Linked DNA regions of Sus scrofa. The protein of the gene in region 6 interacts with the protein of the main gene of each other region in a pairwise test. Links are inferred from orthologs where the notes say so. Each region holds a gene or a part of one and is shown on either strand. Other genes may lie near its edges. The genes, in order: FIS1, SFXN3, PTDSS1, SYNPR, NDUFB6, CREB3 and P4HA2.

Region 1 (4,373 bases), on a different chromosome or scaffold from region 6:
CTATTACCTTGCACCTCTGTAACCCACACCCCCCACCCGCCCCTGGCTTAGCCTGGAGGAGAGACGAGGAGAGGGTGCTTGGTCACCCAGGTGAGAGGGAGGGGAGAAGGGAGCTGTCTGCCTTACCTTGAGCCGGTAGTTCCCCACGGCCAGGTAGAAGACATAATCCCGCTGCTCCTCTTTGCTCCCTTTGGGTAGCAGCTCTGTAGGGGGTGGGGGAGAGGGTGAAAACCCCTTCTCTTCCTTTCCTAGTGCCTGTGTCCCAGAGACCCCTTCCACTCCCTGAATCCCTATATGATCCTGGGGGAAAGTCATGTCCTGAGCCTCCATCTCAGCTCCAGTCTCGAGGCTTCCCAGTCAGAGCCTCGTGACAGCATGAACCCAGACTGCCCAATGCCCTGGTGATCAACATCCCACTATCAACACAGGAGTTGACTGGTTCATTCAAAGTCAACTGAAAGGAAATCAAGGCTCCACTGAAGCCAGGGTTCACTCAGTTGTGGCACCTGCTGTGTATGTTAACTACAGTTGCTTGCTGCTAGACGTGTTCAAAATAAGTTTGCACTCCTTCCCCCTCTAAAAAATCAGTTCAAAACTCCCTTTCAAGTACCCCTCAGAAAGGCCCCAGCTGACTCTCTTAGTTCAGTGACTTCCCTGAGGCGTATGTGTTCAGTTGTACTCTATACACTTGAATTTCTTGCTAAGTAGTTTTGCAGGTGTTTATACATCTTCCCAAGTGTCTGCACTATTTCCTCAACTAGACTGGCAATGTTTAGAGACCCTTTCTGCTGCAGAGGAAACCCAAGAAATCCCAATTGGCAAAGTAGACAAATGGAGGCTGAAATTATTTGCATTAAGGAAGACTCTTACTTTTATGGATTTACAATAGGCATCCTTGGCTAGTACACTGTTTGCTTACACACCATCACCTGACCAAGAGAAAGGGGGGTACAGAGAGATTTAAGGGTCAAGTATGGTAGGCTCTCACCAAATGCTGACCCATCCAAAACCATGAGAAACAGCATTCTGATCAAAAGAGCACCATCTGCTCACAGGCTTTTGGGATCATTTTCTATACTTCTTCCATGGGCCCCCTCAGAAGATTTTCAACAACCACTGCTAAATAAGCAACATGGTGGGGGGCAAAGAGCATGGGACTAGGACACACAAGACAGGTGCTTCTAGTCCCAATTCAGCCATTAATTAGGCAGCTGTGTGACCTGGGACAAGTCATTTTCCTTGTGTCTAGACTACCAGATCACCAAAGTCCTGTGGGGACTGACAGGCCATGACTATTTGGCAAAATCAATGATGAGGTGGTAAGTAGCCAAAAGTATATATTACAAGAAGTCAGGCTAAGCATAACCCTTTTTTGCTGTGAGTTTACTGGAAAATAACTGTGAGGTGACTGGTACTTTGAGGTCCCATGTTCTAAAAGGATCCCAGTCCTTGAGATGGAGGGAGTGAAAGAGGCCAGTGGTGGTAGAGGGTGATGGCAAGGGAGGGCTGGGGAGCCAGCTTAGCACCTCACCCTCCAGCAGAGCAAGGCCTTTACGGATGTCATCGTTGTACTTGCTTCGCACCAGACACCAGGCATATTCAAACTGCGTGCTCTTGGACACCGAGCCTGCTGCCTTCTCAGACTGAAATTTCCTTTCAAATTTCTGCCACAGGAGAGGAGAGGAGTCATTTAGAAATGAAGGGGGTAAGCCACTCTCTATCAGGACCTTCGTGTCCCTTTCCTCATTACCCTCCATCTTTCCCTCTGCCACATTTTCCTTGTCGGTTGTGGGGTCTAGTATCCCTGGTTCTGCCATCTCCATCCCTCGGCCCAGGCATTCTGCTTCTTAGCAGTGGGCTGTCTGTCTCCTTGGATGGTCCCCCCTCTGCTCCCCTCCCCCTAGTGGCACCGAGTGGAGATGCCACCTGGTGGCAGTTCCAGGCACCGCTCCCGGAGCAGCTGACCCCGTGAGGCTGAACAGTAAACAAGCTGTCAGAACTGCTCAACAACAGCCCACGCACTCTCTAGTCGGAGACTGCTTCTCCCATCCCCACCCTGCCGGGTTTGGACCCCTTCTTATCTGCAAAACAGGAACAAAAATAGTGCCTACCTCCTACTAGAGCTACAAAGATTGAGATATCCCCTGCCAGGCACCGTGCCGGGTTCAGTGAGCAATTTATGAAACTTTATGGTGGTCGCCCTGTTACCATGCCACGAGAGCACTCAAAAAACAGGTGCTCCCTGACCTCCTAGATCCTGCACGGACCCAGCCCCCATCAGGCTCCAGGCCCTGAATCTGAGGCGTGGTAGCACAGGAAACTACATCTCACATTAGCCTCTGGGGCAAACTGGAACCTCTAGGCAGCAGCCGGACGCTGCAGGGGCTGCCGGGAACCGTAGTTCGGCTTCCCAGGGCAAAGCTGATGCTGGGAGGAGGGTTTGGCCCCTACCCCACTCTCCTGAGGGCCCGCCCTTCCGAATCTTCCTGTTCCCTCCCTCGGGGCCGGGCCTCACCAGCAGATCCTCCACAGACACCAACTCGTTCAGCACGGCCTCCATGGCCGTCGGCCTCGCAATCCTCACTACTCAGACGCTACTGTGCCACAGTCTCCATGGCCCACTGACAGGGGCGGAGAGCCATTTCCGGCGTCCGGCGGAAGTCAGACCCCCCCCCCCTGAGCAGAACCAATCGCTTTACGTGGCCGACTCCGAGCCCGCCTTTCAGCCGGCTGGTGGGTGGGGTTACTGATGCGCATGCTCCAACAGGTCTCGCGGGAGCCGGCTGCGTCCTCAAGACTGTCTTCGAGGGTACTCTGCGTGCGCCTCAGAATACTGAGGTTGCCTCAATAAAGTCTGAGACTACGTCTTGGTAATTGACCCCTGGACTGATAACAGCGTAAAGAGAAGGTGGGGAACTAGGCATGGATCACATAATTTTAGGGACCAGTCTAATCTACCCTCCGCCCCTCAGCTCTCTCCTCTGAGGTACCTAGGACGCTAGCGAATACGTGACCTTTCAGTACCTGTAAGAAAATTATAACTAGTACCAGAGTTTCCAGGGCCCCTGCTGCCTCTTACAATGCAAGAGGAAAGAAAATGGATCTGTTAAGCGTACACCCAGAAACTGTGGTGGGGGTTGGGGGGGGATACTATGAATGAGAATTTAAAGAAAAGCTGTTGTCGTTGCTTGCACAGAGGGTCCAATCTTTTAAATATTATTTGATAGAGCATCCTCTGGGTGTACCCAAGGAGGAAAGGCCGGCCAAGTGGGGTTATGGGCAATAAGGACCTTGACAGTGAGAAGCAACAAAGCATGAAAAGGGGAAATGCTGCTGGCTGCTCTGGCATCTGTGTTCTGTGCAGTGAGGGGACTGGGTAGGTAGTGATTTTCAAATTCTTTTTACCTTGACCCTCAGTGCTCTAGTAGACATGTGAATATAAGTTCCATGGACAGAGACTATCTTGTTTGTCTCTGCCGTCTCCGGCTCCTAGCACAAGGTAACAAGTAAATCTTTGTTGAATAAACAGGAAATAAAGCCAACAACAGTAATGAAGGCAGTGCACATGCAGGGGATTATCATCCAAACACCTTTCCTGTTCGCAAAGCCCCTTGAATTTATTTCCCCCTCATAATAGCCTTGTGAGTTATGTAGGCAAATTATTCTTCTCTGTTTGGCTTGGACAGTTGAAATGACTTTGACATGAGCTCAGTAAACTTTGAGAGAAACCTTAGTTTAGGGAACTGGCTCCAGAACAGTCAAGGAGAAAAATTTGCATTCATTGAAAGACGTATTGAACACCTAATTTTGGCTGGGCCTTGGGGTAGGCAGAGAGAATAAAAAGACATACCTAATATGAGGTAGATGGGTGACAACAGGAAACGGCAAGTACTGGCAAGGCAGGGAATATAAGAAAGCAGAAGGGCATTATGTCTTTTTGCCTTTTCTAGGGCCGTACCTGAGGCATATGGAGGTTCCCAGGCTAGGGGTCCAATCGGAGCTGTAGCCGCTGGCCTACGCCAGAGCCACAGCAACATGGGATCCGAGCCGCATCTGCGACCTACACCACAGCTCATGGCAATGCTGGATCCTTAACCCACTGAGCGAGGCCAGGGATCGAACCCCTAACCTCATGGTTCTCAGTCGGATTCATTAACCACTGAGCCACGACAGTAACTCCCAAAAGGGCATTATTTCTATCAGGACGTTACTCCCCTTGGGTGACCTGCTGCACCTTATCCATTTTTGTATCTGTTGTAGCTCTTTGCACAGGCCTGAAACATGGTAAGAGCTCCAGTGGGGTTTGTTGAATGTATATTCATGGGGGGAAAAAGAACGCCCACATGGCTTGATTCTGTGCCAGTGAAGAGATG
Region 2 (4,243 bases), on a different chromosome or scaffold from region 6:
GCGGGTGGGGGCAGGCTGAGAGGAGGGCACTGAGCCACCGGCTACATGGGCCCTCAGGGAACACGAGAGAGCAACGGAGGGCGGGGAGAAGAGCCCCTGGGGATGAGCTCTCACCCCACGGTGATGGGAGCGTCTCCACTGCGGTTGGAGTAGTTAACAATGGCATTGAAGGATTGATTCACCCACTGCCAGAACACCACGGTTGGGGTCTTCCTGGGGAACAAAAAGGCTTACTTCGACAGTGTCCCTCCTTCTTGGACCCCAATCATAAAACCCCAAAGCTTAGCCCCAAACCCTCAGGGGAGGCCCTGTTGATGACCCTAGAACCTGCTCCAGTGACCCCTGCATGGTCGTCCTTACACAAACACACCCATGGTCTCTGGGGTGGGAGGACCCCTGACCGAGTTCAGAGGAAGGGAAGGGATTCTAACACAAGCTCTCACCCATCTACTATTTTCTGCCCAAATTGGCCCAGACCGGAAGTGCCTAGTCATCAAGTTATGCTCTAGCTTGGACAGAGCACCCAGGGAGGAGACACACAGGATAGAACCTGCCTGTAGAAGGTGAGCATGCAGCCGGTGATGGTCATGTTCATGGGCACCTGGGCTGACATGCGGCCAATCAGGACCACCTTCTCCCCTGTGTCCGGATGGAAGGCAGAGTCGTACACATACTTGGCCCGCCACAGCTGGTCCTCGGTGAGCCCTGGAGTCACCACGCCGGCCCTGCAGGGGTTGGCAAGGAGCAGACAGCAATTCTAGGGGCAGATCCCCCCACCCAAGCCCTGCCCACGCAGCTCAGGAGAAGTCTGGGCATAGGATCAGGTACTTTGGCCCTCAACCTCGTAATAAAGAAGCTCCTTACTTCTGGGGAAGAATTAAATTGTCGCGGAAGGAAGGCTCCTATTGCTATTTCCCTTCTTAGCCACACATAGAAGGGTGCCCTTCTGACTCTGCCCAAATGCTGGGTCATGAGTAATGGTGGTTTCCAACGGGTCACAAATGGCTGGGGTGTTGCAAGAGTTTTTCCTCCTGCCCTCCTACCTCCTTGGGACCCAAATTTGAGCCCCTCTATCCTTGTATAGGGTGGCCCAGCAGTGGAACAGGTCCTTGTAAAGTATGAAGCATAGAGCAGCCCCCTGACCATAAATATTAATACTACCTTCTCAAGCCAAACACCCTGAAATTTTTTGGGTTAACGTTCTGTGCCCTACTTGTCTGTGATTCCAACAGATAGGGCTAGGGAGTAGGGGTTGGGGTGGAGGAGTGGAACAGGGGAGACAGGTGCAAAGGGTACTTTATTAATGGCAGGGAAGGAGACCCTGGGTCAGTTGGGGTTGGGAGTCACCTGTAGTTCTGCACGATGTTCCGGGAAGCTTCCAGCTGTGCCCCAGACAGCAGCAGATTTCGAGGGTCGGTCACAGTGAAGAAGTGCCGGGCTCTACCCAGGAAAGTGCTTTGGTCCCAGCGAGGTTCCTGGATATTGATATCTAAGGGCAACTCACCCATTTTCTGCAGGGGAGGGACCAGAGTCAGAGGACTCCAAGGAGAGGACCCAAGGACTCCACATGGGGCCAACTTTGGTAGCCCTACCCTGGTCCCTGGGCTTACTGCCAATCCCTTCTAGAGCTCAAGGTGATTCTGGATACGTAAGCAAGGATGTGGGGGAGGGGAGCTGTTTTCTAGGCAGTGTCCTAGCTCAGGGACCTGCAGACACAGGAGAAGGGGACAGGGGAGAACAGAGCCAGGAAAACAGATGTCCTTGTGCTCTGGCCTGGCACAGATTTCCATGAGTGAGGATTTACATGTGTGTGGTTGATGCAGCAGCAGCAACAAATCCTCTACAGCTATTCATGTGCTCTGTATGCACAAACATGCAGATTATATGCATCACACATCCATGTTCATTCAGCTTTAGGCCCTGGCTGCCCTGAGCCTACATACAAACCCCTAAGGCTGTTTGGAAGACGGTATAAGCCATCCCACACCCCAAGCCCGGACTGGAGGAGAGCAATGGCTCATTGGCAACTCTAAGGCTTATCTATTCCAGATCTCTAAAAGGTGACTCTGAAGCCTGCCAGCTAGGTATGCCCACAGGCATGCACGCACAAGTTCCCCCCTCCAGAGCCACCTTCCTCATCCCACACAGAAGGGCCCAAGGATCTCCTTGTTTCCCACCTGGGCAGGGCTGACATAGACACCCATCCCACCTCTCCCTGAGCCACTGGCCTCAAAAGAAGCAGGGTTCAGTAAGTGACCCCTCCATTCAGCCCAGAAAGGCAAGCCTGAAGCCGCCATCTGGCTGTGTTGGGCAAAATCCTACAGAATGACTAATCCTCTCCAACCACACTTCCTCCCTCGCAGGCAGACACACCCTCCGCTGCCTTGCACACTCATATTCACATACCCACACACAAAGACAGCAGCATACATGCCCTACCCAGACTTACAAATGGAGTGGACACGCCCTGCATACAAAGACCGTTACTTGCACGCACACACACACACACAGCCCATATCTATCAGTTGCAGACACTTTATTGTGTGATCCATAGAGCCCCACCCCGACATTCCTTCCCCAACTAACCTCCCCTCCGGCCCCATGGACCTCCCTTGAGCCGAAGATACTGAATCTCACACTGCCTGGAAGTGTGCTGAAGAGAGAGCACTTCAAGGCAGCTTTCCTCTCTGACTCCCAGCCCTCAACCCGCTATTTTCCTGACCCCCGGACCCCGCCCGGCACAGCGAGCACTCACGCTCTCCTGGGCTCCCCGGCTCCCGGCCTCTGCAGCTCTTAGGCCCGCCTTCCTCTGCGCCCGTCGCCCCCGCCCTCACACCCATCAAGCACACGTCACGTGTGACGCTCACTAGCCTGAGAGGCTGGGGCTCCCTCGGCGCATTCGCCTGGCGTGGCCAGGGATTGGCAGAGCCTGGGGGCGTTGGGTATCATTAGGGGCGACGCCCCCAGCCCGGTCCACCGAGACCGGCCCTACGGTGCCTCCCAGAGCCAATCCCGACTCCAGGATCAGTTCTGGCCCTGTCCCCAGCCCGAGAGAGGAGGGGAAGAGCGGCGGGCGCTGCCCCATTTGCTCACAGTGCCTTGGTTGGCCTCGGGAGGCACCGGGTTTCTTCAGCAAGGGATCTGGGTGCCCAGGGTGAAGGCGCGCGACGTGGAGGGGCATCCACTGATGGTGCGCTCGGAGGGACTCGGGTTACCGCCGGCTTGTTTACTCGATGGCTGCCTTGGCAGTGGCCTCTGCCTACTTGCCCCCCTGGGCGCCTCTCCTGGTTCCCACAAGCTCCTCTCGCAGCACCTCAGCACTCGCACCAGTGTGGTTCTTCTCGTGCCTGTGCCCCTTCTATGTCCCCAGTCCTTTCCTCCTTCCTAGTCCCCTCCTTACTCCCTTCTGTAACCTCTAACTCTGCTAGGGTGCCCAGTTTCTTTATGCCCGCAATTTCTACCCCTGCTTCGCAGACCCTGGCCCCAGTCCCTGCTCTGGGTGTGAAGGGGCGGAAATCTCAAGATCCCTCTGTCCTATCAAGGAAGTGGATCAAAAAGATTCTTCCTCCTAGTGTCCTGTTATCAGCTGCCTCCCCCCCCCCCGCATACATTCCAGAACTGGGTGGCCAGAGAGACACTTTCTGATATAGAAGGAGGATGCATGTGAAGGCAGCGCTCAGACACACACACACACACACACACACACACACACACACACGCACCCTCACCCAATCATCATTCAGAGCATGCGTGCCACACACCCATGCTCCTGCCCACCGCAGGCTCACACCCCGCTGTTGGGTGACATCCTCACTGAGGCCTCAGGGATCACTGCAGAGGGGTGACAATTCCACGAGTCCTGGCAGCTGGCTTGGCCTGGAGAAGACAGGGTTCTGGGCTCCCCTGAGCTGTACAGGTAGCGGGAGCAGAGCAAGCCAAGGCCCCAGCCCTAAGTTCGTGGTACAGAGTGGGGCATCCGAACTCAATTGGAGTGTGTAGAACCCAGCGACCCCAGCCCAGGTTGCGAACTGCGTTCAGGGGCACCCAAGGGAGGCGGAGGGAGGAATGACTGGCGTCGCTCCCAGCCAATGGGAGCCCGGGGCTGCACTAGCCTGCCCCATTCCTGCCGCCTCCGCGGGGCGTGGGCGGGGATTCCGCGGCTGCTGCGGTATTGCGCGCGCCCGCGGGCGGGCGAGGCCGGCTGCGGCCGCACAAGCAAGCAGGTGAGAGGGGCCGGGAGGAC
Region 3 (3,657 bases), on a different chromosome or scaffold from region 6:
TAAGGATCCAGAGTTGCCATGAGCTGTGGTGTAGGTTGCAGACGCAGCTCGGATCTGGCACTGCTGTGGCTGTGGCATAAACCAGCAGCTACAGCTCGGATTTGACCCCTAGCCTGGGAACTTCCATATGCCACAGGTGTGGTCCTAAAAAAGACAAAAAAAAAAAAAAAAAAAAAAAAGGAACAGATGAAATTCATTTATATATATATCCAATATATTTAAAACATTATAAAGAAGTATTTTGGCGCTCCCATAGTGGCTCAGCGGTTAACGAATCTGACTAGGAACCATGAGGTTGCGGGTTCGATCCCTGGCCTTGCTCAGTGGGTTATGGATCTGGTGTTGCCATGAGCTGTGGAGTAGGTCGCAGATGCGGCTCAGATCCCGAGTTGCTGTGGCTCTGGTGTAGGCCAGCAGGTACAGCTCCAATTAGATCCCTAGCCTGGGAACCTCCATATGCCACGGGAACAGCCCTAGAAAAGACAAAAAAAAAAATTCATTCAAAGATCTTCTCAAAGCAGAGCCAAAAAGTCCAACCAAAAAGAAAGAAAACAGAGACATGGTGCGTATGTATGATTCCCCCTCCCCTTTTAGGGCTGTAATTGTGGCATATAGAAATTCCCAGGCGAGGGGTCAAATAGGAGCTACACTGCCAGCCTACACCACAGCTCACCGCAATGCCGGATCCTTAACCCACTGGCCAAGGCCAGGGATCTAACTGGCATCCTCATGGATACCTGTTGGACTAGTTTCCAATGCGCCACAGCAGGAACTCTTGGTGCGTATGCAACGATTTATACTGAAGCCTACTGAGCCTTCTCTCCTTATTTAGGGCCTGGCATTTGCTATTTGGATGGCTGTGTTAAAACCCATTAGAGCACTTCCACCTTTCCAAGAAGGTTGTCAAAGGATCTCCTTACACATAAAGAGCCTTAAGAAGGGGAAGAACACAGAAAGTGGCTAATTTTTCAACAAAAACAAATAGTGTGAAAACCCATAGGGTTTGGCAAAAATTTGGAGGAGCTCTCAGAAAGTCCAAACACTGGATTTTTCAGTCTCTGGTTTAGTCTCTAGTTTTTGTAATGAAATGTCTAACAGTTTTGAAATTTTATGATAAATCACATGTGATCTGCTGTTCCGTTTAATAAGTGATTTCTTTCCCTGCTTAATGACTTGTTGATTGCTCCTAATTTCATGAAGAGATGGCTGCTAATCTTTCCTGAAAATGAGTGTAAGCCTCAAATTAAATCAGATTTTAAATTTGGCAGAGAGGCTCCAAGCCACCAAAGGAAAACAGCATTTGTGAGATGACCACTTCAACAGTCCACTGGTCTATAAAGTGCCAAAAGGATGCAGTTTACCAACTGTTACTTTGCTGTTTTTACACATATAATAAAATACCTGTCAGAGTTCCTGTCATGGCTCAGTGGAAATGAATCCAACTAGGAACCATGAAGACGAAGGTTCGATCCCTGGCCTCGCTCAGTGGGTTAAGGATCCAGCATTGCCATGAGCTGCAGTGTAGGTCGCAGACACAGGTCAGAGCCCATGTTGCTGTGGCTGTGGTGTAGACTGGCAGCAGCTGCAGCGCAGATTGGACCCCCAGCCTGGGAACTTCTATATGCCAGGTATGGCCCTAAAAAGCAAAAAAAAAAAAAAGAAAAAAAAGAATTTAGTTTTTCTACAGCTTCTGAAGAGCGAACTCAGTTGCTGAGTTTGTGTCTGTATCAGCTGAGCAGAGACCCAGGGCGTTTGTACCAATCAAGTCCAATACTGCATACTAGTTAAAAAACCCAAATGCCATTTTGAAATAGGAACAATTAAACAAAACAAAGTGTTTTGCTTTGAAGTTCACAGGGACTGGTCCATACGAGGGACACCTCTGAATAGCGCCTCATCCCTCGGCCTGCGTGAGTCATGCAGCCAGGGGAGGGGTGGCATGAATACCCAGGCATGTCCCCACTGTCCCTGGAGGACTACAGGAAGGACACTTTTAAAAGGAAATGAACTGAATTGCCTCTGAAAGAGCTAAGTCTCATTCTAAAAATAACATCATGCATGACTTCAATCCACCATTAAAAACATTTGTATTTTTCAATAATCTCATTAAAGAAACCTCAGATCTCTGTTACTCATTTTATTTTAAATAGGATGTTACGAGATTTAAAAAAAAAAAAGAATGGGAGTTCTCTTTTGGTTAAGGATCTGGTGGGGTTTTTTTTGTGTTTTTTTTGTTTTTGTTTTTGTTTTTGTTTTGGCTTTTTAGGGTTGCACCTGCAGCATGCAGAATTTCCCAGGCTAGGGGTCAAATTGAAGCTGCAGCTGCCGGTCTACACCACAGCCATGGCAATGCCAGATCCCAGCTGCATCTGGGACTTACACTGCAGGTCACAGCAATGCGGGATCCTTAACCCACTAAGTGAGGCCAGGGGTCGAACCCGTGTCCTCATGGATACTAGTTGAGTTCGTTACCGTTGAGCCACAATGGGAACTCCAAGGATCTACTGTTGTCACTGCAGTAGCTCAGGTCACTTCTGTGGGAGGGGTTTGACCCTTGGCCTGGGAATGTCCACATGCCACACATGCAAGCCAAAAAACCCTAAGAAACTAACGACCTTCCCTCCCTAAAAAACAAAGAACAGCAGTGAAGATCATAATGGTGTGAGGTCTTCATGTTACAGAGGTCTGCGAAGCAAAACATTTTCTTGAGAGCCTGGACTCATAATTCTTTTTTTGTTTTTTTTTTCTCTTTTTAGGGCTACACCCGCAGCATATGGAGGTTCCCAGGCTAGGGGTCTAATTGGAGCTGCAGCTGCCAGCCCACACCACAGCCACAGCAACGGAGATCCGAGCTGCGTCTGCGACCTGCACCACAGATCATGGCAACAATGGATCCTTAACCCACTGAGCGAGGCCTGGGATCGAACCCGCATCCTCGTGGATACTAGTCAGGTTCGTTACCTGACTAGTCGGGTTCCCGACTAGTTGCTGAGCCACGATGGGAACTCCTGGACTCGTAATTCTTTAGAACGATATTTTCATGGAAAAATCTGCTCCTCATGTGGCTTCCCTTATGTACACAGGAGAATACAAAGCAGGTGAACGCACTCAAATGATGGTCAGACTAACACAGAATTACCTCACTGTGGGAGCCGTGATGCCACCGATAAAGAGAATTCTACACCAACTTAACGGATGGCTGGCTTGGAACACAAAGATGTGTTTCAGGAAGAAGGTATTCAACTCAGTCAGCTGCAAAAGAAGAGGCGTGAGTCAGCTTGATGCTTCTTGCTAAGTCATGATCACCTAGTCCACCAGTGGGCAGTCTATAGCTGGAAATAACTGGTACATTCAAAGCATTTTCAGAAAAAGTACTGGGGAGTTCCCACCGAGGCTCAGCGACTAGTCGGGAACCCGACTGGTATCCATGAGGATGTGGGTTTGATCCCTGGCCCCGCTCAGTGGGTTAAGGATCCGGCGTTGCCGTGAGCTGTGGTGTAGGTCCCGGATGCGGCTAGGATTCTGCATTGCTGTGGCTGTGGTGGAGGCCAGTGGCTACCGCTCTGACTGGACCCCTAGCCTGAGAACCTACATATGCTGCGGGTGTGGCCCTAGAAAAGACAAAAAAAAAAAAAAAAAAAAAGGTATTGGGTCTCA
Region 4 (4,381 bases), on a different chromosome or scaffold from region 6:
CTGAAAATATAAAAGGACTGCAGTTCCAAGACTTTAAAGACTACCAACTTCAAAGCTGCTGCCCCACAGAACAGGAGAAACTAGGGTGTTATTAGTGCTTTGTTGTGCTCAATTTACACTTTTTGCTGATCACTTACTGTTTACCAAGAACCATGAAAGACACTTGTGGGGACTACAAACATAACACATTTCCTGCCACTGAAGAGCTAAAACTCTCTCACTGTCACTATCTCTCACAGAAAACAAATACCTGAGAGGAACTCTTCACCTATTGGATGCACAGAAAAGGTATTTTCTTTCCCTTTCTCCACTTTGATAAACTTTCTCAAACCACCTATCTCCCTGCTTTCATCTCTCGACCTCAGCTCTTTCCAAAGGCAGTGATCAACTAACTTATCTTTTAAGGTTATTCTGGTCCCTTTTTTCAGGTTCTTTCCCACAAACAATGGCCTAACAACTGATTTACAAGCAAAACCTTTCTTCCTCAGAGCCTCAGAAGAAAGAAAGGAAATCAACTATACTTTGATTTAAAAAAAAAGTTTTAATGTAATAAGTTCTCTCTCATTTACACACATACACATCAAGAAAAAAACAACTATAAGGCAGTGTGATACATTCTCATGAGTGAATGGTTAAGATGTAACTGTAACAGAAGCCCAAAGAATGGGGTGAATCAGTCAGTTTGGGGTAGAGGAAAGGGGAAGGAGCAAATATGAGCACAATTTTCAGTGAGGAGGTAATATTTAAGCTGAGGTTAAAAAGCAAACATTTGTTCTCAGTTTGAGCTGTGAGGGTGCTCCATATAGTATAAACAGGAATAACAAGAGCATTAAGGTAAGAAGTGCTTTGCTGTTTTGGAGGGACTTTATGAAGCTTAGGGTGCTGGTTATCCAAATTTAATGTGTATACAACTTATCCTGGGAGCTTGTTTAAAATGCAGATTCCCAGGCACCCACCTTCACAATATTTTAATTTGATTTCCAAAATCTGCATTTTAAAAAAATTCATCCAGGTTTACCACACTTCAAAATACGATCATAGAGGCTGTGTATGGGGAGTGACATGAAAAAACACTGCAACAGGACTGAAGGGAATACCAACTAATATTTCAGGTAAGTGACAATGACAGTAGGACAGCGACAATGACAATGTGAAACAATAAGAGATTATATCAGAAATGATGTCAGGTCTTTGAACTTGGTTTTGAGAGGCAATGGCTTGACAATGGAGCTATTACTTTAAGAAAAAAACAAAAACAACAACAAAAAAATCACTCTTCCACAAAGAATGTTTATTGAACAGCTAAATGAATGAATGCAGAAAGAACTCTGAGAAAGTCAACTTAAAGCTGCCTGGACTTTGAGTCCTGCTTGCTTTAACTTTGCTGTGACAAAAACAGTTTTAGAATAGCCATACCAGAACCACTAGTCCCAGCCCTCCAAACGTTGCCCTAATGTATGCCCAGCTGATAGATTCATGCATTTTTATGCAGTTTACAAACAAGCCAAATATGACTACCCTGTAGACCATCCAAGTAAGCATGTACCACGGTTTTGCTGCCAAAGCAGGATCCTGGCCCTTGGAGCTGAGATCTGGGAGGACAGAACAGGCTCTTACATAATTTCCCAGCTAGTCAGTGATAGGACCTGTGATTAATGCTATATGACGGGCTCTGAACTTTCTGTTCAGATAGATTCACTTGCCTTTCAGAGCTCCTAGCAAGAGAGAATGTGTGACCCACAGATTTCACTCCGAATAACCATCATCCAAGCCAGCAACACTAACATTTCTGTGTGACCCCCTGGGTAACTGTTTCTGCGCTTCACTCTTCTGCCAAAAGATAAGTTGCGTTGGGACTATCAAGTTGTATTTTAAGGGAACAAAACAGAAGAGTACTACAACTTCCTAAAGCCCAGTCGCTGAAGAAAGCTCCACAGAGAAGGCTAGGAGGTTCTTCGTGGAGAAATCAGAAAAGCCCTCGAGGAGTGGCCAGAGTGAAGAAACTAAGATGGGAGGAAGGACTCCCGTTCTCTATAACAGCATCTTTCACAGCCTCGCAGCTTCTCTTGCCGGAGCTGCAGCGGCGAAGCGCTTCCAGCGTCGCAGGAGGGGCGGAGGGCTGCCCCGAGTGCGGACCAACTTTCTGACTTTTGGCCAAGTCCTCCCCGCTACTCTGCTCACCCCCAGGTCCTCACCCCCGCGGAAAGCCAGGTGAGCAGCCAAAGCCCAGGACAGCTCCTCCATCTGCTCCCGTCCTCGTCTCCCCAGGAGGCTCCTTTCCACAGCCCCTGAGCGTCTGCAAGCCGCCGAAGTGAGAAGACACCTCGTCTAAGCCCGTGCAAAACCAAGCTCCCGCCTCCAAGCCAGGTCCCTTCGTCCTGTCCCTCAACCCCGGACTGGAACCTGGGCAGTGGGGAGGCTTGAAGGAAGCGGCTTGAATCCCACGCTTGGAGAGGAACCGAGCAGGGAGCACCCCACCCGACCTCTCCTCACCTGCTGGTTCGCTCTCTCTTTCGCCTCCCCGCACACACATCACTACTCACCAATTCCAGGGCTCGCAGGAAGGCAAGGGGTTCCTTCAGCGCCCGGAAGGTGCCTGCTGAGGCCAGCTGTGGACCAAGGAGGCAAGAGAGAGGAAGACACAGCGTGAAGAAGGGGCTGGAGGAACGTCATCCGGAGCCCCGGGGTCCCGCAGCATTACCCGCGCCTCCCAGTCGGTCCTACCTGACTCACGGGGTCCATAGCTCGTCTTGCTCGGGCTTCTCGCCCAGCGGTGCCTGGGAAAATGAAGTTCGAGGGCCACCGCTGTCCTTGTCCCTAGGACTAGAAGCCTTCTTTCGGGAAAAGCCGGAGGAGCGAGGCGGGGGAGAGCTGGGTGCCAGGTGCGGGCTCCCGAACGATGGGCTCCAAAAGCCTGCGCGCGGGTGCAGCGAGCACAGCAGCAAGGGTGGGAGGGGCGGGGGAGCGGTAGGCGGGCGGGGTGGGGGTGGGGGTGGGGGTGGGAGGGAGGCCCGCGCAACTGCCCAGGCGAGGCTTCAATTGGCCAGCTGCGAGGTCCGGAGGGGAGGGCCAGGAGGTGGGCGAGGCGGAAGCGCGACCTTGGGGCCGAGTCGTCCAGCGCGCTCGGTGCCCTCAGGCTCCAGGGTAATTTGGGGCCTGTAGGTTTGAGGTAAGCTGGCTGGCACCTTCAGCAAGATGCTTCCTTGCCTGCATACGGGGGTTTCAGGTAAGAGAGAGGCAGCCCATACCCCTCGTAAGGAGGTGTGTGCGTTCTGGTGACTTCTGACCACCAAAGAAAGACTGATGACTTGGTCATTCCCTGAGCCTTCTTGGAACGTTCTCCAGGTGTACTGGGACACATCAGGGAACAGGATAAACACTGCCCATTCCCTCAGCAGTAAGCAGAGGGCCAGGTCGGAGGGAAAGGGGCTAGAGGTGAGGGGAGAGGAATGAATTGTGAAAATAGGAGACAGTGTGCCAGACAGGTAATCCGCATGGCTACTGTATGAGGTCAGGGGCGTATTTTTATGCCATTCTTAAAAGTAGAAACTAGACTTAGTGAGGCAAAGTTAGCCTAGGTAACACAGCTAGCTCATGAGGCTAAACAAGGTTTGGAATGCAAGTTCCTGTAAAACTCATGCTGTTTCTACCAAGATCCTTTGCCTAAGATAGAGTCCTCAAATGAAGCCCCCCTCCTCAAATCCATCATAAATAGGACTGAGCGCCACTCCCCCAACTCATACTCTTTTCCTCCCTTAGTCTGCTAACCTTACCAGAAATAATATATAACGACAAAACAGTTTTCTTTCCATGAATCACAAATTGTGTTAAAGGCTTTATAACATTACTTCATTAAATGTTCACAAATCCCAGATGGGTCTGTAGTACTAAGATTCTCATTTTAGAGATGAGGGAGTAGAGGGCCATGGAAGGGAGGTGCAGAGAATGAAGCCAGAGTTGAATTCAAAATAGTCAGGACAGGGAGTTTTTATTATGGCTCAGTGGTAACCATCCCAACTAGTATCCTTGAGGATGTGGGTTCAATCCCTGGCCTTGCTCAGTGGGTTAAGGATCCGACATCACCCTGAGCACCGTGAGCTGTGGTGTGGGTGGTAGATGTGGCTTGGATCCCCATTCCTGTGGCTTCGGTGTAGGCTGGCAGCTGTAGCTCCAATTCGACCCCTAGCCTGGGAACCTCCATATGCCTTAGGTGCAGCCCTAAAAAAAGACAAAAAAAAAAAAAAAAAAAAGGAAAGGAAGGGGAGGAGGAGTCTTCAATGCTCCTCATAGAGCTGATAGGTCCCCTTTCTTTTTAGTCCCTTTGGACAGAATTCCATTACGAAGTGGTCTCCCAGCAACACAGATAGCCCATCTGTTTACC
Region 5 (4,374 bases), on a different chromosome or scaffold from region 6:
CGCGGGAGCGGCCCAAGAAATAGCAACAATAACAACAACAACAACAACAAAAAGACAAAAAAGACAAAAAAAAAAAAAAAAATATGGCAACAGGGCATCTCAGTTCAATCACCACATGCAAGATCTTTCAGGGAAAAAAATTCAAGCCTCTAGATGTGCTAGATTCTAAAGAAAGTTAAGTTGTGAAAAAACACAGAGCAAAGGGAAAGGGAATAGTAAGATGACAAAGACAACTTTTAACTATTTTGAATTTTATCTTAGATCTGTGTTCAAAAAAAAAAGGAACAGAAATTCTTTTCTCCCTTCCAACTCAGGACTCCAAGTTTACACTCACATTATCAGGTCAACTACATTTCTGATCACATAATGTTGTTTCTATGAGGAAACACAACTCAAGTTGTAAGCAACTAATATAAAGATTAAATTTTTGAAAAACCATACATTACTTAAGTTTCCTTAAACCTTTTACCTAAAAGGATTCAACTTCAAAATCAGTTATACATGGCAGATTATTTCCATTAAGTAGAGCAGAGTAAGGCATACTCGCATAGAAAATAATTTTGCACAATATTAAAAACAAATTCTGAAAAACATACACTTAAAGCATACTTACAGTTACATGATATTTAAGATAATAATGAATAATCCATACAGGGATAAGCACATGAGTAACAGCAAAGATGCTGTGTCGGTATGTCTTATAGATCTGGGGGAAAAAGCATACAAGAAATAGATACCTTATTTTTTCACATTTGCGGCAGGAAAAAAAAAGCATCAATGCTATAACAACGTCATGCTCATTGTAAAATCCCTAAATGTTACATATTTCCTTAAAGTCTGCAGCTAATTTCATGCATTCGAATATTTTTATTAAACACAGTGCCTACTAGGTGACACCTCCAGAGTTCAGAGCAAAGGAGGCTTAAGCAGTATTTTGCAGAGATATAGTAATGTATTTATAGATATACGTTTTTTAAAAGACTTCTAAAAATATCCCTATTATAAGTTTAAGACAAAACATGGCATAAATAATGAAAAAATAATTTTAATAGATTTAACCAGAATAATCAGCATACAGAGTTTTCATTTCCCTAATTTATCAATTTCAAATACATAATCAACATCACTTGTACCATCTAAGATGTAAGGCAGATAATTATGAGTACACTAATGCTGGAAAAAGGATGTCTTACATACTGGGATGGGGTGTTCCATGCTCAGTGAGCTGCCTTCAGACATACTGTTTTTAAAAAGAGGAGTTCCTGTCCTGGCTCAGTGGTTAACAAATCTGACTAGCATCTGTGAGGACGCAGGTTCGATCCCTGGCCTTGCTGGGTGGGTTAAGGATCCTGTGTTGCCGTAAGCTGTGGTGGAGGTCGCTGACGCGGCTAGGATCTGGCACTGCTGTGGCTGTGGCATACGTAGGCTGGCGGATACAGCTCCGATTTGACCCCTAGCCTGGGAAACTCCATATGCTGCAGGTGCGGCCCCGAAAAGACCAAAAAAAAAAAAAAAAAAAAAAAGGGAAAGGCAAAAGTCATTTAAAACTGGAACTTTTCCAGGGCAGCCAATTTGAAAGAATAGGACCTATCCTTTCAGGGAAAGGACAATCTAAATTTTAAGTGTTATAATAGATATGATTATGGAAAAGGTTAACATGAAGTAAGTCAGATTTCAACAAATTATTATTTACTTCCTTAAATCGCTTGCTTGATGGGTGGTATGTCAACTTTCAACCAGTGGTTGCCAAATCAGTTAGTAAAATGTCAGAAATCCAAAGGGAGAAAAGAGGAGAGTTGACTTAGAGTTTAATTTTACCACCGTAAATAAGTATCTAATACCACTTGCTCAGAAAAATGTGCACCAGACTTCGTAGCTCAGTAAGAAAGTAGATACACATGGATTTCAATGTGAACTCGAATTCCTCACCCTGAGACCATGGCTACATCACTGAATTTTTGTAGGCCTCAGTTTCCACACTTAAAATTAAGATTAGGACCAATTTCTACCTTACAGGAGTCCAAAATAAAATTAAGTAACACATGTAAAACCCTTGAAAAATGTCAGGCATAAAGTAAGAACCCAATAGGACCCATTCTTATAAGATGATTACATGGAGCTGTACTACCAGTTAGAAGCACACTGTCTTCTAGGTTCGGTGTAATGGCAGTTAGTTTCTATAATCTCAACCTCAAAGATCAGACAAATGTCCTCAAATACCGAAATCACTGAATTTTAACTCTAGTGAATCCTTGGCTACCATTCTGAGGGAAGATTCCCACAGTCAAAAGAGATGCAAGGCTGCACCATCCTGTAAAACCCAGGCAAAGATTCACCTCCTACTCATCACACCTGACAGTTAAATGGTATGACAATCCCAAAGCCAAACGTGCTCCGGACTCCTGACCCCCAGGCCAAGACTCTAGGAACCAGACAGCGTTCCCACTACACCCAAGTCTCGGCAGAACCTAATTCCCCCTTGGGAAACTACCAGTACTTTCGGGGAAAGGGAGAATCAGTCCCTACCTAATGTTGCTACAGAGAGCAGGCGTCACAGCAGCCAGGCTGGGGACCGCGACGGGGCGGGGGTGGGAGAGGGCCATCACTCACCACGTTCTTCCAGGGGGCTCCATCCTGCAAAAACTTATTCCAGAATTGCTCCATAGGCCACACCCGCCGCGGGGGCAGCACCGGTTCCCGGGGGCTCAGCTCCTGATCCTTCAGCCATCGCCTTCTCAGCTCTCGCAGCTGCTGCAGTCGCAGTTTCTCGTCGGGCGTATATCCCGACATGTCGCCGCCGGTACCAAGGAAGCAAGACACGGCGCGCCCCTGAACGAGGGTCCTGTCACATACGCGCGCTTCCCCTTCTGCAAAGCGACCTTGCGAGGACACCTGGGAGCGGCGCGCCGTTACGACGTCACTGGGGTCCTGCCCTCGAGCGGCTCCAATCTGCGCGTAGTGACTAGGCATGCGCAAACTCCTGCAGACCCCCGCACCGCTTTACGCGCCCAGATTTCCAGAGAGAGGCGGTTACTGGCAGACAGTTAGCTACCGGATGAGGAGGGAAGTAATGAAAAACAGGAAGTATCAGAGGTCAGTGTACTAAACGCTCTGACCAGGAAGAACTGGTGTATTGGGAGCTGGAAGTATGTGAATATGTGACTCAATGAGTGACTTCTACATGCAAAATTCATTTGCCTCTCCCACCTTGGAATTCGTCCTCTTCCCGTAACCTAGAGTATGTGGGGGACCCTTTACATCCATGTTCTGGTAAAGAGTCCTTGAGCAGCTGTCTCGTCTGTTCCTTCATCAGTACTGCAGAAGTAGAAAGTCGCTTACTATCCAGCAGAATTAGACACGTTCACCCTTCGTACCAGCAATCCCACTTCTAGACCTCTAGTCTAAAGATACAGCGGTAAAAATATGAAAAGAATGTGCACAAACTGCAGCACTCTTTATAATAAAATCCTGTAAATTACCGCTCAATTTCTCAGTAAAGGGCTGGCTGAATAAGTTGTGGTACAATAACTAAATGAAATGCTTTGTATAAAACTGGAGAGAGCTACTGAGTACATAAGTTGTTAAGAGAAAAAAGCTAAACGGAGAGAAGTATGTATAGTATGCTACCTTTTATCCAAAAAGGGGAGGGTGGTAGTGATACTAAATGTATATATATACATATGTTTGTTCAAGTTTTTAAAATAATGGAAAGGAAAATTACTTTTTTTTTTAATGTTACCTATAGGAAGAGGAAGGGGGTAGGCTAGAAACAAGAAGGATAGAAGCTAAACGTCTCCAAATTGGTTTTTAAAAAGCACCCTCTAAAAATCAAAAGTAAAAATAGATGGATCTGACTGCTTGGCGGCATAATTTCAAAAACACACACCACTTCAGGTAACTTTATTTTTGCGTTTTAGGACTGTACCTGAGATATATGGAAGTTCTCAGTCTTAGGGGTTGAATCAGAGCTGCAGCCACCAACCTACACCACAGCCACAGCAACACCAAATCTGAGCTGAGTCTTCGACCTACGCCACCACTCACTGCAAACGCCAGATCCTTAACCCACTGAGCAGGGCCAGGGATGGAACGAACCTGCCTCCTGATGGATACTAACCAGTTTCGTTACAACTGAGCCACAATGGGGACTCCCACTTCAGGTAACTTTAAATCATCACATTATTGTACATCCATAGAGAGGTATACTTCAAAGACAAAAAGAACTGCAAGAAAGAAAGAAAGGAAAGAAAGAGAAAGAAAAAGAAAGAAAAGAGAAAGAAAGAAGTCAAACTGTTTTAAGTAACCATATCCTTGATAGTGATGGTGGTGATGGTATTGTTAACCTGCAACTGAAAATAAACGTTTAGGCCGGGA
Region 6 (3,458 bases):
AGCCTCCCCCTTTTCCCTGGCACACATCCCACCTCCCGCCTTCAGGCTTCTGCCTGTGAGTCAGTTTTATTTCCCTCCGTAGCTGGGAATTCCCTGAGGGCAGAGACCTACTGTCTCCATCTGTCCAGCTGAAGTGGCTCTTCAGGGGTTGCCGAGGAATATGATGGCCATTTCTCTCTACAGGGCCTGACCTGGGAGGGCTTCCGTACAGCAGAAGGCTGCTACCGTACTGTGTGGGAGCGCCTGGGCCTGGCCTTCCAGACCCCTGAGGCATACTGCCAGCAGCGGGTGTTCCGCTCACTCGCCTACATGCGACCACTGAGCATCTGGGCCATGCAGCTAGCCCTGCAGCAGCAGCAGCATAAAAAGGCCTCTGGGCCAACAGCCAAACAGGACACAGGACAAAGCTCCGGCCTAAAACCTGGACCAAAGGAAGCCATGCAAACCTGAGCCCAGAGGGGGAAGGAGGCACTAACAGCCCAGCCTCCAGCCAGGCCTTTCCTCCTCCACCACCCCGACCCCATCCAGACTCCTGCAACCCTGAGCCACCAGGACAATCATGCGCTCCCTTCTCCCCACCAACCACGCCAGTAAAGAGGGGTTGAGGGTGACCCAAGCATCAGAATCACTTATTTATTTCTTTCTTCACCCCATCCCCTCATTGCATGAAATGTTCAAGGAAGTCAGTGGACTCTCCCAGGCCCCTTAATGGAACAACAGACATACATGGGTGCAAATAAAACCCCAGAAAGCCAGTAAGTGTGGTGTGTTTGTGCCCTCAGGCTTCCTGACAGGGGACAGGACCTGAGGCTCACCCTCTCCCATTCCTTTTCCTTTGAACACAGACTGGGGGCACCAGGCTCTGGCTGAGGCCCCCTGCATTCTCACATCTAGCCTGAGTACCTGCCCTGCAAGGTAACAGATATGGGGCTGTGGGTAGGGAGCCATCCTCCCTCTCTTGTGAGATTTGCATGCAGGGGGAAGATGGGACCTGGGCTAGAAGACCTTGAGAAGCGGTCGGGCAGTGGCAGCTTCATGGGCGATTCTGCCCCAGGAGCCCAAGCCATGTGGTGGAACAGGCAGCAAGAGTTGCCAGGAGCCTGGAGCTCGTGGGTTGAGCTGTCCTGTGGTACCTCTGACTGCAGTGCAGGCAGGTCCCGCTGGGGAACGTCCTCGCTGGGGAGGGCACGAAGCTGGCGGGACAACACTGAGGAGACACAGACTGTTCAGGGGCCACCCTGGCTTCCCCCCCTGGCCCTTCCTGAGTGGTCTCAAGCCTCTCACCTCCATGCTCGGCTGGCGGGCTCCCCCTTGTGTCCGAGGAGTACATGGCAGGTACGAAGAGGAGACAGAAGGAGAAGAGCAGGACCTGGAGCACAAACAGGAAAAAAAAAGAGATGAGGACGAGCTCTGGATTGCACCCCTGTCCCTGCCACCTGAGAAAAGAATCTCTCCTTCCATCGCCATCCTCACCAAGATGCAGGTGCTGCTGCTGCTGGCTTTGTTTGCCGTCTGAATCACCATGGACTGCAGCCTCCTCAACTGATCCAAAAGGGACCTAGCAGAAGAACGGGGGACAGTGAGCAGCCCCCGGCCTGGCACCCTGACATGTAACAAAATCCTCCTGTTAAGGCCACCCCTCCCTCTGTGCACTGGATCCTCTCTCTTACTTTCTGACCTATTTTTGCAAGTGATCACCTCCTCTCTAGACAAAAATGCCTGAAGTTCCTCATTAAAACAAACACACAGGACTCTGCCCTGCCCCTGACTTAAACTCCTTCTGCAAACACCTTTAGTGCTTGTACAACTGCCTGATCAGCTCCACACTCAATCCTCTTCAGGGATTCTATGTTCTTTTTTTATATTTATTTTGCCACACCCACATGCTGCGGGAGTTCCCAGGCCAGGGATCAAACCAGAGCCACAGCAGTGAGAAGGCCTTACCCCAGGAGGCCACCAGGGAACTCCCTCTATGTTCTCTACCTTATGGCCCAACTCACCTGGGTTAGGGTTCCAGCCACACTAGACTATGTGGTGTTCTCTTTGCCTAAAATGCTCCCTGCCGCCACTCCAGAATCCCCATCTACTGTCAAATGCCTTCTGCCACGTGAGGTCTTTTTTGCTCCCTCTTTCTTTCTTGATACTTATCTGTAGTTAACTTGGGAATTTATTCCCCATTGCTGTGAACTTCTTGGAATCAGATACCCATGAAAGGCCAACACCAGGCCTTGCATGTAGGAGCTGCCCAGTTAGAAATCAAGTGTGGAGCAGGGGAAATAAGAAAGTATTAAACGGGAAGAATGAGAAAGCACTGAGGTCGAAGAGCTGCTTACAGATTCTGCTCCTCCAGGAGCTGTACTTTGTTCTGTAGCTCCAGATTCTGGGCCGAGTATTTCAGGACCCTGGAGAAATAACAGGGCTGTGGGGATATGGCCTGTACCCATCCTTCAGAAACCTGACGCTCCCAATTACTTCTGTTCTCCCTGTCCCCCCGAAGTCCCTCTCCCTTTTATACCTGCTCTCTAAACTCCCCACATACACCTTCTTCTTCCTGCGGCTCTCTTGAGCAGACTTTTTGTTTCGAATCTTCCTTCGCACTCGTCTCAGAACTTGTTCCTCCATCTGAGGGACATTGGGGAAAAGGGTAACATCAGAAGAAGGTGCGACCAAAGAGCCTGAAGGCAACGGAGTTCAAGCTTCCCAATGGGCGAATTCCTTCTACAGCCTTCCTGAGCACTCTGCTTCTGTATGAATGCCCCCGAGAACAGGTGTTAACGCCCTCACAAGCCAGAACCATTTTAATTATTAACTAAAAAACACAAAACAAAAAACACTTCCTTGTCATGAGCCAACATCTGCCCCTGTTCTTTCTACCTATCGGATTTACCTAGCACCCAATCTCTGGGTGCTATTTTACTTTATTTATGTATTTACTGCTTTTTAGGGCTGTATCCTCAGCATATGGAGACTCCCAGGCTAGGGATCGAATCAGAGCTACAGCTGCCGGCCTATGCCACAGCCACAGCGACACCAGATCTGAGCCGCATCTGCGAACTAGACCACAGTTCACGGCAACACCAGATCCTTACTTAACCCACTGAGCGAGGGCAGGGATTGAACCCGCAACCTCATGGTTCCTAGTCGGATTCCTTTCCACTGTGCTGTGATGTGAACTCCTCTTTAGCTATTTTAAAACACTTGACATTTCTTCCAAGTGAAAAAAAAATCTGGGCAAAAGTTTTAACTCATCATCTGCTCTCTTCTCAGGATGGAATGTATACTCGTAATATCTGTCAAAAGATCTGGGCTCAAGCCTGGACACTGAGATGTGACGTTCTGGCTGATATAAAGGAGAGCAAGTGGTTACTGCTCTTCTAGAGGCAACACAACTAGATAATGAGTATCTGCTGATATAGCTTGCAAGCCTATTCACTCTTTTTTTTTTTTTTTTTTTTGGG
Region 7 (4,439 bases), on a different chromosome or scaffold from region 6:
GCCTCAATACATCCCTGGCGGGATCCCACAGAAAGCACACAGCAACATGGACCCACAGGGCAGGAATATGGTGCCTAGAGTTCAAGCGAGCAGTCACCACTGCTCCAGGCATCACAGCACTCAACAATGACCAAGTGGCCCAGCTCAGGGCAAGGCATTATAGTCCAGTAGGGAGGCATCCAGCCCTAGACATCCCCAGAGTTAGACTCAGCTCCACAATCACTTTCCGGCTTTGGAACCTCAGAAAAGTGACAGGGTCTCTTTGAGCCTCAGTTTTCCCATCATATAATATTAGGACCTACATCTGATGGGGCTGTTTAGAGGACTGAATGGGACGACCGATGTCAGCGGACAGCCCAGCACCAGGCACAATTTATACCAGTCAACAGCACCAAGAGTACGGGAGGAACAGCAAGAGATCAGAAGCAGCCAGCTGGCCAGATGATCCCTGGAGAGGAAGAAAGTCTAGTCTAGAGGACCATGAAGATGAAAACAAGGCAGAAATTGGGCAATCTCTATGTCCTAGCAGTGCTAAAAGAGAGGCAAGATTAATTTAGGAGAGAGCGGAGTCAGGCATAATGCAGCACATCGACCACCAGGGAATAACACTGGCTCTAACGCGCACCAAGGAAAGTTCTCCGGCAAAACCAGGTGACTGGCTCAATACTCTAGAATCTCATGTATTTCTACGACCTGCCCACTCCGCGTTTCTATGAGTACCAGGCCACAGGATGATGACCACACCCTGGGCCCTCAGGAATGCAAGGCACAGAGCAGGCTACACTCTAGCAAGCATTTCCTGGAAGGTCTAGAGCAGATGCTGATCTGTGATCAGGCTCACATCCTATTTGAGCTGGAGAACTCATTACCCAGACATTGACTCTCTACCGTGTAATGAAACCATTTAAACAAACACTCTTCTAGGCCTCCAAGAAGTCTAATTCAGACTCCTCCTCACTCCCCTCCATTCTTTCTACGAATAAAAACTCCATCCATCATTCCACATCCTGAGCTCAAATCCCAGAGACCTCAGGAGCCACAGGACCTCTGTGCTCAAGGACAGGCTGATGTCCCACCCTGGTGCACTTCAAAAGTCCAAATTGCTAGCTTTGAACAACTTACTCAAAGTTTAATTCTCGCTCCAGCACCCTGTCGGGCTTGCCTGTGCTTGCATCACAGCATTTCCTGCCAATTTCCATCTGCATAGAATTAAACCCTTGACAGATCCCAGAAGCCAGGGACACACCCACCAGCCCAATGCACACTATCAGCCAGCGTGGCCACTCACTGGCCAAGGTCTTGTGTCCAGCCTCAGAACCACCCTCCCACCCCACCCCCACCCCACACCCACCCCACACCCCACTGCAAGGATGTGGCAGGGCAGAATCAAAAAGGGAGGTTCTCACAGGAAATAAGCAGACCCCAGACTCCCTCACCCGACTCATTCCTCAGGGCAGCACCCACACAGTCTTTCCTGAGAAGCATCCATGCTCTGAGTGCCTCCCTGGCATGTGACCAGCCGCAAGCACGAAGCAGCAATCTCAGAGAGATTATGAGCTACCTACAGGCATGGAGAGTACTATCGCTACTGCCTCCTCTCCCTCCTCCCTCATTCCAGCCCCAGGCAGCCTCTAAGGAGACGCCTAGCCTAGACTCTTAAGCAGAAGCCTATTCAAGGAATGAACGGAAATTGGCTGTGGCCAGGTTAAACCAGGGTCAAAGTAGGCACTCTCCCAGGCAGGCCATTTCAGAGTCTATCACAAGACAGACTGGACAGGGGAGAAGGGTCTATCCCAAGCCACAGACAATGCTTAGTAGCCACCACGTCTGCCTGCTGAGCTCTCAGAGAACTAGGGTGGCCCCGTGTGATGGCATCTCTGGGATGAGGCCCCCAGCCAACTCACTCCATTCTTGCTACGTGGCTCCTTGGCTGGGCCCCACAGTGGACGGGTTGGCTGTCAGCAAATGAGGCCCCAAAAGAAAAGCGTTCAGAGCCCAAACATGTTAGAAGTGAAAAGAAAGGCTGGCCCTTGAGAACCAGAACCAAAGTGAGAAACTGCTCCCTGGACACTTCAGGGGGAGCTTAAGCACAAGCCAAAGGCAATCTTGGTTCATCTAACAGAGAACTCAAGTGTGCTATGAGCTGAGAAGAAGACATAGCTTATAAAACCACTCTATAAATTCTTAGGTGGACAGTGGATCTCTGTGAAATCAAGGACACTTATCTGAATGCCCTAAATGACAAGCCCTTGCTCTCAGGGGCAGGATATCCCACAAAAAGGTTAAGGTTGTTGAGCCTCAGATGGTTTACATCAAGCAGCACAAGCCTGAGGTGTCACTCTGCAGTACAAGACACCATTTCTCAGCCTGGGGAGGGGCGCTGATGTTGTTCTGCACCATCTGAAAGGAGTCAGATTAGAGAAGAGAGACCAGGAGCCTCTGTCTTGCAGTGGGAAATGCCCTGATCTACGCCGATGCAGCAAGGATTCACCGAGCACCCTCTACATACAGGGCACAATACAAGGCACTGACCTCTCACTTGAAGCTCTCTGGACAGGGTCCATGGGAGTTACGCCCTAAAACATCCCTTCCCCATCAGCCTGCTTCCCCTGGAGTGCCCAGGTCTTCCTCCACTCACACAAGCTGTTTCTCCGTCTGGGTTACCCTCTCTTCAGCCTTCATTTGACCACTTTAGCTCATGGGTCACCTCCTCCAGGAAGCCCACTAGCCTGAAGCAACCTGTGCTCTACCAAGTACTCACAGTCCAGTGCTCCCTCCCGGCACAGCACTCACCACACTGCCCTGGGCCTGGACTTCCCTGGTCTTCCAGTCCGCCTGCCCCACTGGGCTAGCAACTCCTTGCAGTTTCTGACACACACAGGGGTCCGTTTGTTGAATTAGTTAACTAGTTACAAGTCGCCGCGGCTGCTGAGGCAAAACCACGCAGGTTCTAAAAGGATGTCTGGAGGGGAAAGAAAAAAAAAAAAACTTTCTCATCCAATAGCCTGTGTTAATGGGCACCAAGCTGGACTCCGGAGGCCAGGGCCACAGACTCCCAGGCTTCTGAAGGGAGACATGCGGACCTCACTAACCCTAAGCGGTCGCCCAAGGCCTGCCCGGCGCCCCTGCCTCCGCCTCCAACCTCGGGCAGCCCTCGGGCCAGGCCGCCCCTTCCCTTCCCGGGAGCCTGACCAGCAGGGCGGCCAAGCTCCCCGCCCCGCCCGGCCCGGCCCGGGCGACCCAGGGACCGGCAGGAAGGGCGCTGCTGACCTCACTACCCCGAGCTCGGGAAGGGGACGCAGCGGCGGGACAGGAACCCACACGGGGGTAGAAACAGGGCGGAGGGCGCGGGGTTGCGGCCCGGGCAGCACGGCGAGGGGCGCGACCCCCAACTCCAAGCCCGTGGGGGCAGAAGGTTCGGCCCGTCGACCTCTGCCTGCGCCCGAGCTCGGCGGCGGACCTGGCGGCCGGGCGGGCTGGACGCTCACCGGGACACGCGCCGCTCTCGGCGTTTCCAGAACCTCCCGCGGCGGCACCCAGCCCGCTCGGCGCCGCCTCCCGCCGCCGCCCCGCCTCCCGCCGCGGCCGGGCTCCGCCCGCTTGAGCCGCTGCCACGTCCCCACCTCCTGCCCCCCGCCCGCCCGGCCCCCGGCTCCGCGCCTCCACAGCCTCGGCCGGGAGTCGCCACCGCCAGCGACCCCCGGGAAGGCTCAGGCCGCCCGACTGCGCGGGAGCCAGGAGCGAGCCTTGGGCCAGGCGGGACCGGCCGCCCGCGCCCTTCATGCCGCCCGCCGCTCGCCGCACGTACGAGGCGCCCGCCTCCCCTTGCAGCTCCTCCTTTGGGACTCCGCCCGTCCGCCTCCCCCGCCCCTGGGCGCCTGGAGAGGGGCCCACGACCCGATCCCGGCGCCGCCAGATGCCTGCGGACTCCCCTGGCCCCAGCCCATGCCCATTTCCTCCCGGGTCCTGCGCTACCCACACGGGCCCCTCCCGCCCCCTCCCCATCTTTACCACCAGCGGGTTACGTCCCCCGGCCCAGGAGCTAGATCATCAGGGAAGGGGAGAGTGGAGAGGGCCTTGAAGAACCTAAGGACCTGGGATCCTTCCCCAGGGCCAAGCCCTCAAAGAGACTCAGACTCCCCTCAAGCTCCTGGGTCAGGCAGGTATGTCTGAGGGAACGGGTCGGTGAGAAGGGAGCCCTTAAAAGATTGGGGGGTTGGGGATGGGGAGCACATGGGCGCCAATCTTTGTTTTGCCCAAGCCCTTCTGTACACTACGGGCCCCAAAACAGTAGATAGCTCACTCAGGCAGTTCCGTCTGGGAAGGAATGAAGGCAGGGATGCTGCAAACCTCAGCCTGAGCTAGAGGCTGAGGCCCGCCAAGCAGATTCCCACGCCTGCTCTGTGAACCTTCCTGGTCATGAATGAGGGGAAACACGG

What was found.
Region 1: the proteins of CREB3 (region 6) and FIS1 interact in a two-hybrid assay, tested with the Homo sapiens proteins (2 studies listed by BioGRID and IntAct). The two-hybrid records come from large-scale screens. The link is inferred for Sus scrofa from reciprocal best matches to the Homo sapiens genes CREB3 and FIS1.
Region 2: the proteins of CREB3 (region 6) and SFXN3 interact in a two-hybrid assay, tested with the Homo sapiens proteins (2 studies listed by BioGRID and IntAct). The two-hybrid records come from large-scale screens. The link is inferred for Sus scrofa from reciprocal best matches to the Homo sapiens genes CREB3 and SFXN3.
Region 3: the proteins of CREB3 (region 6) and PTDSS1 interact in a two-hybrid assay, tested with the Homo sapiens proteins (2 studies listed by BioGRID and IntAct). The two-hybrid records come from large-scale screens. The link is inferred for Sus scrofa from reciprocal best matches to the Homo sapiens genes CREB3 and PTDSS1.
Region 4: the proteins of CREB3 (region 6) and SYNPR interact in a two-hybrid assay, tested with the Homo sapiens proteins (2 studies listed by BioGRID and IntAct). The link is inferred for Sus scrofa from reciprocal best matches to the Homo sapiens genes CREB3 and SYNPR.
Region 5: the proteins of CREB3 (region 6) and NDUFB6 interact in a two-hybrid assay, tested with the Homo sapiens proteins (2 studies listed by BioGRID and IntAct). The two-hybrid records come from large-scale screens. The link is inferred for Sus scrofa from reciprocal best matches to the Homo sapiens genes CREB3 and NDUFB6.
Region 7: the proteins of CREB3 (region 6) and P4HA2 interact in a two-hybrid assay, tested with the Homo sapiens proteins (2 studies listed by BioGRID and IntAct). The two-hybrid records come from large-scale screens. The link is inferred for Sus scrofa from reciprocal best matches to the Homo sapiens genes CREB3 and P4HA2.

The regions. Positions count from the first base shown.
Region 1 is NC_010445.4:8,939,227-8,943,599, forward strand, and holds the start of FIS1 (mitochondrial fission 1 protein), read right to left. Parts: upstream 2,877-4,373; 5' UTR 2,561-2,876; coding exon 2,516-2,560; intron 1,665-2,515; coding exon 1,532-1,664; intron 204-1,531; coding exon 127-203; intron 1-126. UniProt on the Homo sapiens protein: Involved in the fragmentation of the mitochondrial network and its perinuclear clustering. Plays a minor role in the recruitment and association of the fission mediator dynamin-related protein 1 (DNM1L) to the mitochondrial surface and mitochondrial fission.
Region 2 is NC_010456.5:112,110,130-112,114,372, reverse strand, and holds the start of SFXN3 (sideroflexin-3), read right to left. Parts: upstream 2,891-4,243; 5' UTR 2,756-2,890; intron 1,512-2,755; 5' UTR 1,509-1,511; coding exon 1,348-1,508; intron 726-1,347; coding exon 555-725; intron 214-554; coding exon 115-213; intron 1-114. UniProt on the Homo sapiens protein: Mitochondrial serine transporter that mediates transport of serine into mitochondria, an important step of the one-carbon metabolism pathway.
Region 3 is NC_010446.5:40,323,971-40,327,627, forward strand, and holds part of PTDSS1 (phosphatidylserine synthase 1), read right to left. Parts: intron 3,253-3,657; coding exon 3,140-3,252; intron 1-3,139. UniProt on the Homo sapiens protein: Catalyzes a base-exchange reaction in which the polar head group of phosphatidylethanolamine (PE) or phosphatidylcholine (PC) is replaced by L-serine. Catalyzes mainly the conversion of phosphatidylcholine.
Region 4 is NC_010455.5:44,839,787-44,844,167, reverse strand, and holds the start of SYNPR (synaptoporin), read right to left. Parts: upstream 2,937-4,381; 5' UTR 2,743-2,936; coding exon 2,725-2,742; intron 2,610-2,724; coding exon 2,544-2,609; intron 1-2,543. UniProt on the Homo sapiens protein: Intrinsic membrane protein of small synaptic vesicles. Probable vesicular channel protein.
Region 5 is NC_010452.4:33,847,872-33,852,245, reverse strand, and holds the start of NDUFB6 (NADH dehydrogenase [ubiquinone] 1 beta subcomplex subunit 6), read right to left. Parts: upstream 2,904-4,374; 5' UTR 2,791-2,903; coding exon 2,611-2,790; intron 707-2,610; coding exon 614-706; intron 1-613.
Region 6 is NC_010443.5:236,453,535-236,456,992, reverse strand, and holds the end of CREB3 (cyclic AMP-responsive element-binding protein 3), read right to left. Parts: intron 2,623-3,458; coding exon 2,516-2,622; intron 2,403-2,515; coding exon 2,334-2,402; intron 1,559-2,333; coding exon 1,474-1,558; intron 1,370-1,473; coding exon 1,285-1,369; intron 1,208-1,284; coding exon 891-1,207; 3' UTR 620-890; downstream 1-619. UniProt on the Homo sapiens protein: Endoplasmic reticulum (ER)-bound sequence-specific transcription factor that directly binds DNA and activates transcription. Plays a role in the unfolded protein response (UPR), promoting cell survival versus ER stress-induced apoptotic cell death.
Region 7 is NC_010444.4:134,530,643-134,535,081, forward strand, and holds the start of P4HA2 (prolyl 4-hydroxylase subunit alpha-2), read right to left. Parts: upstream 2,902-4,439; 5' UTR 2,794-2,901; intron 1-2,793. UniProt on the Homo sapiens protein: Catalyzes the post-translational formation of 4-hydroxyproline in -Xaa-Pro-Gly- sequences in collagens and other proteins.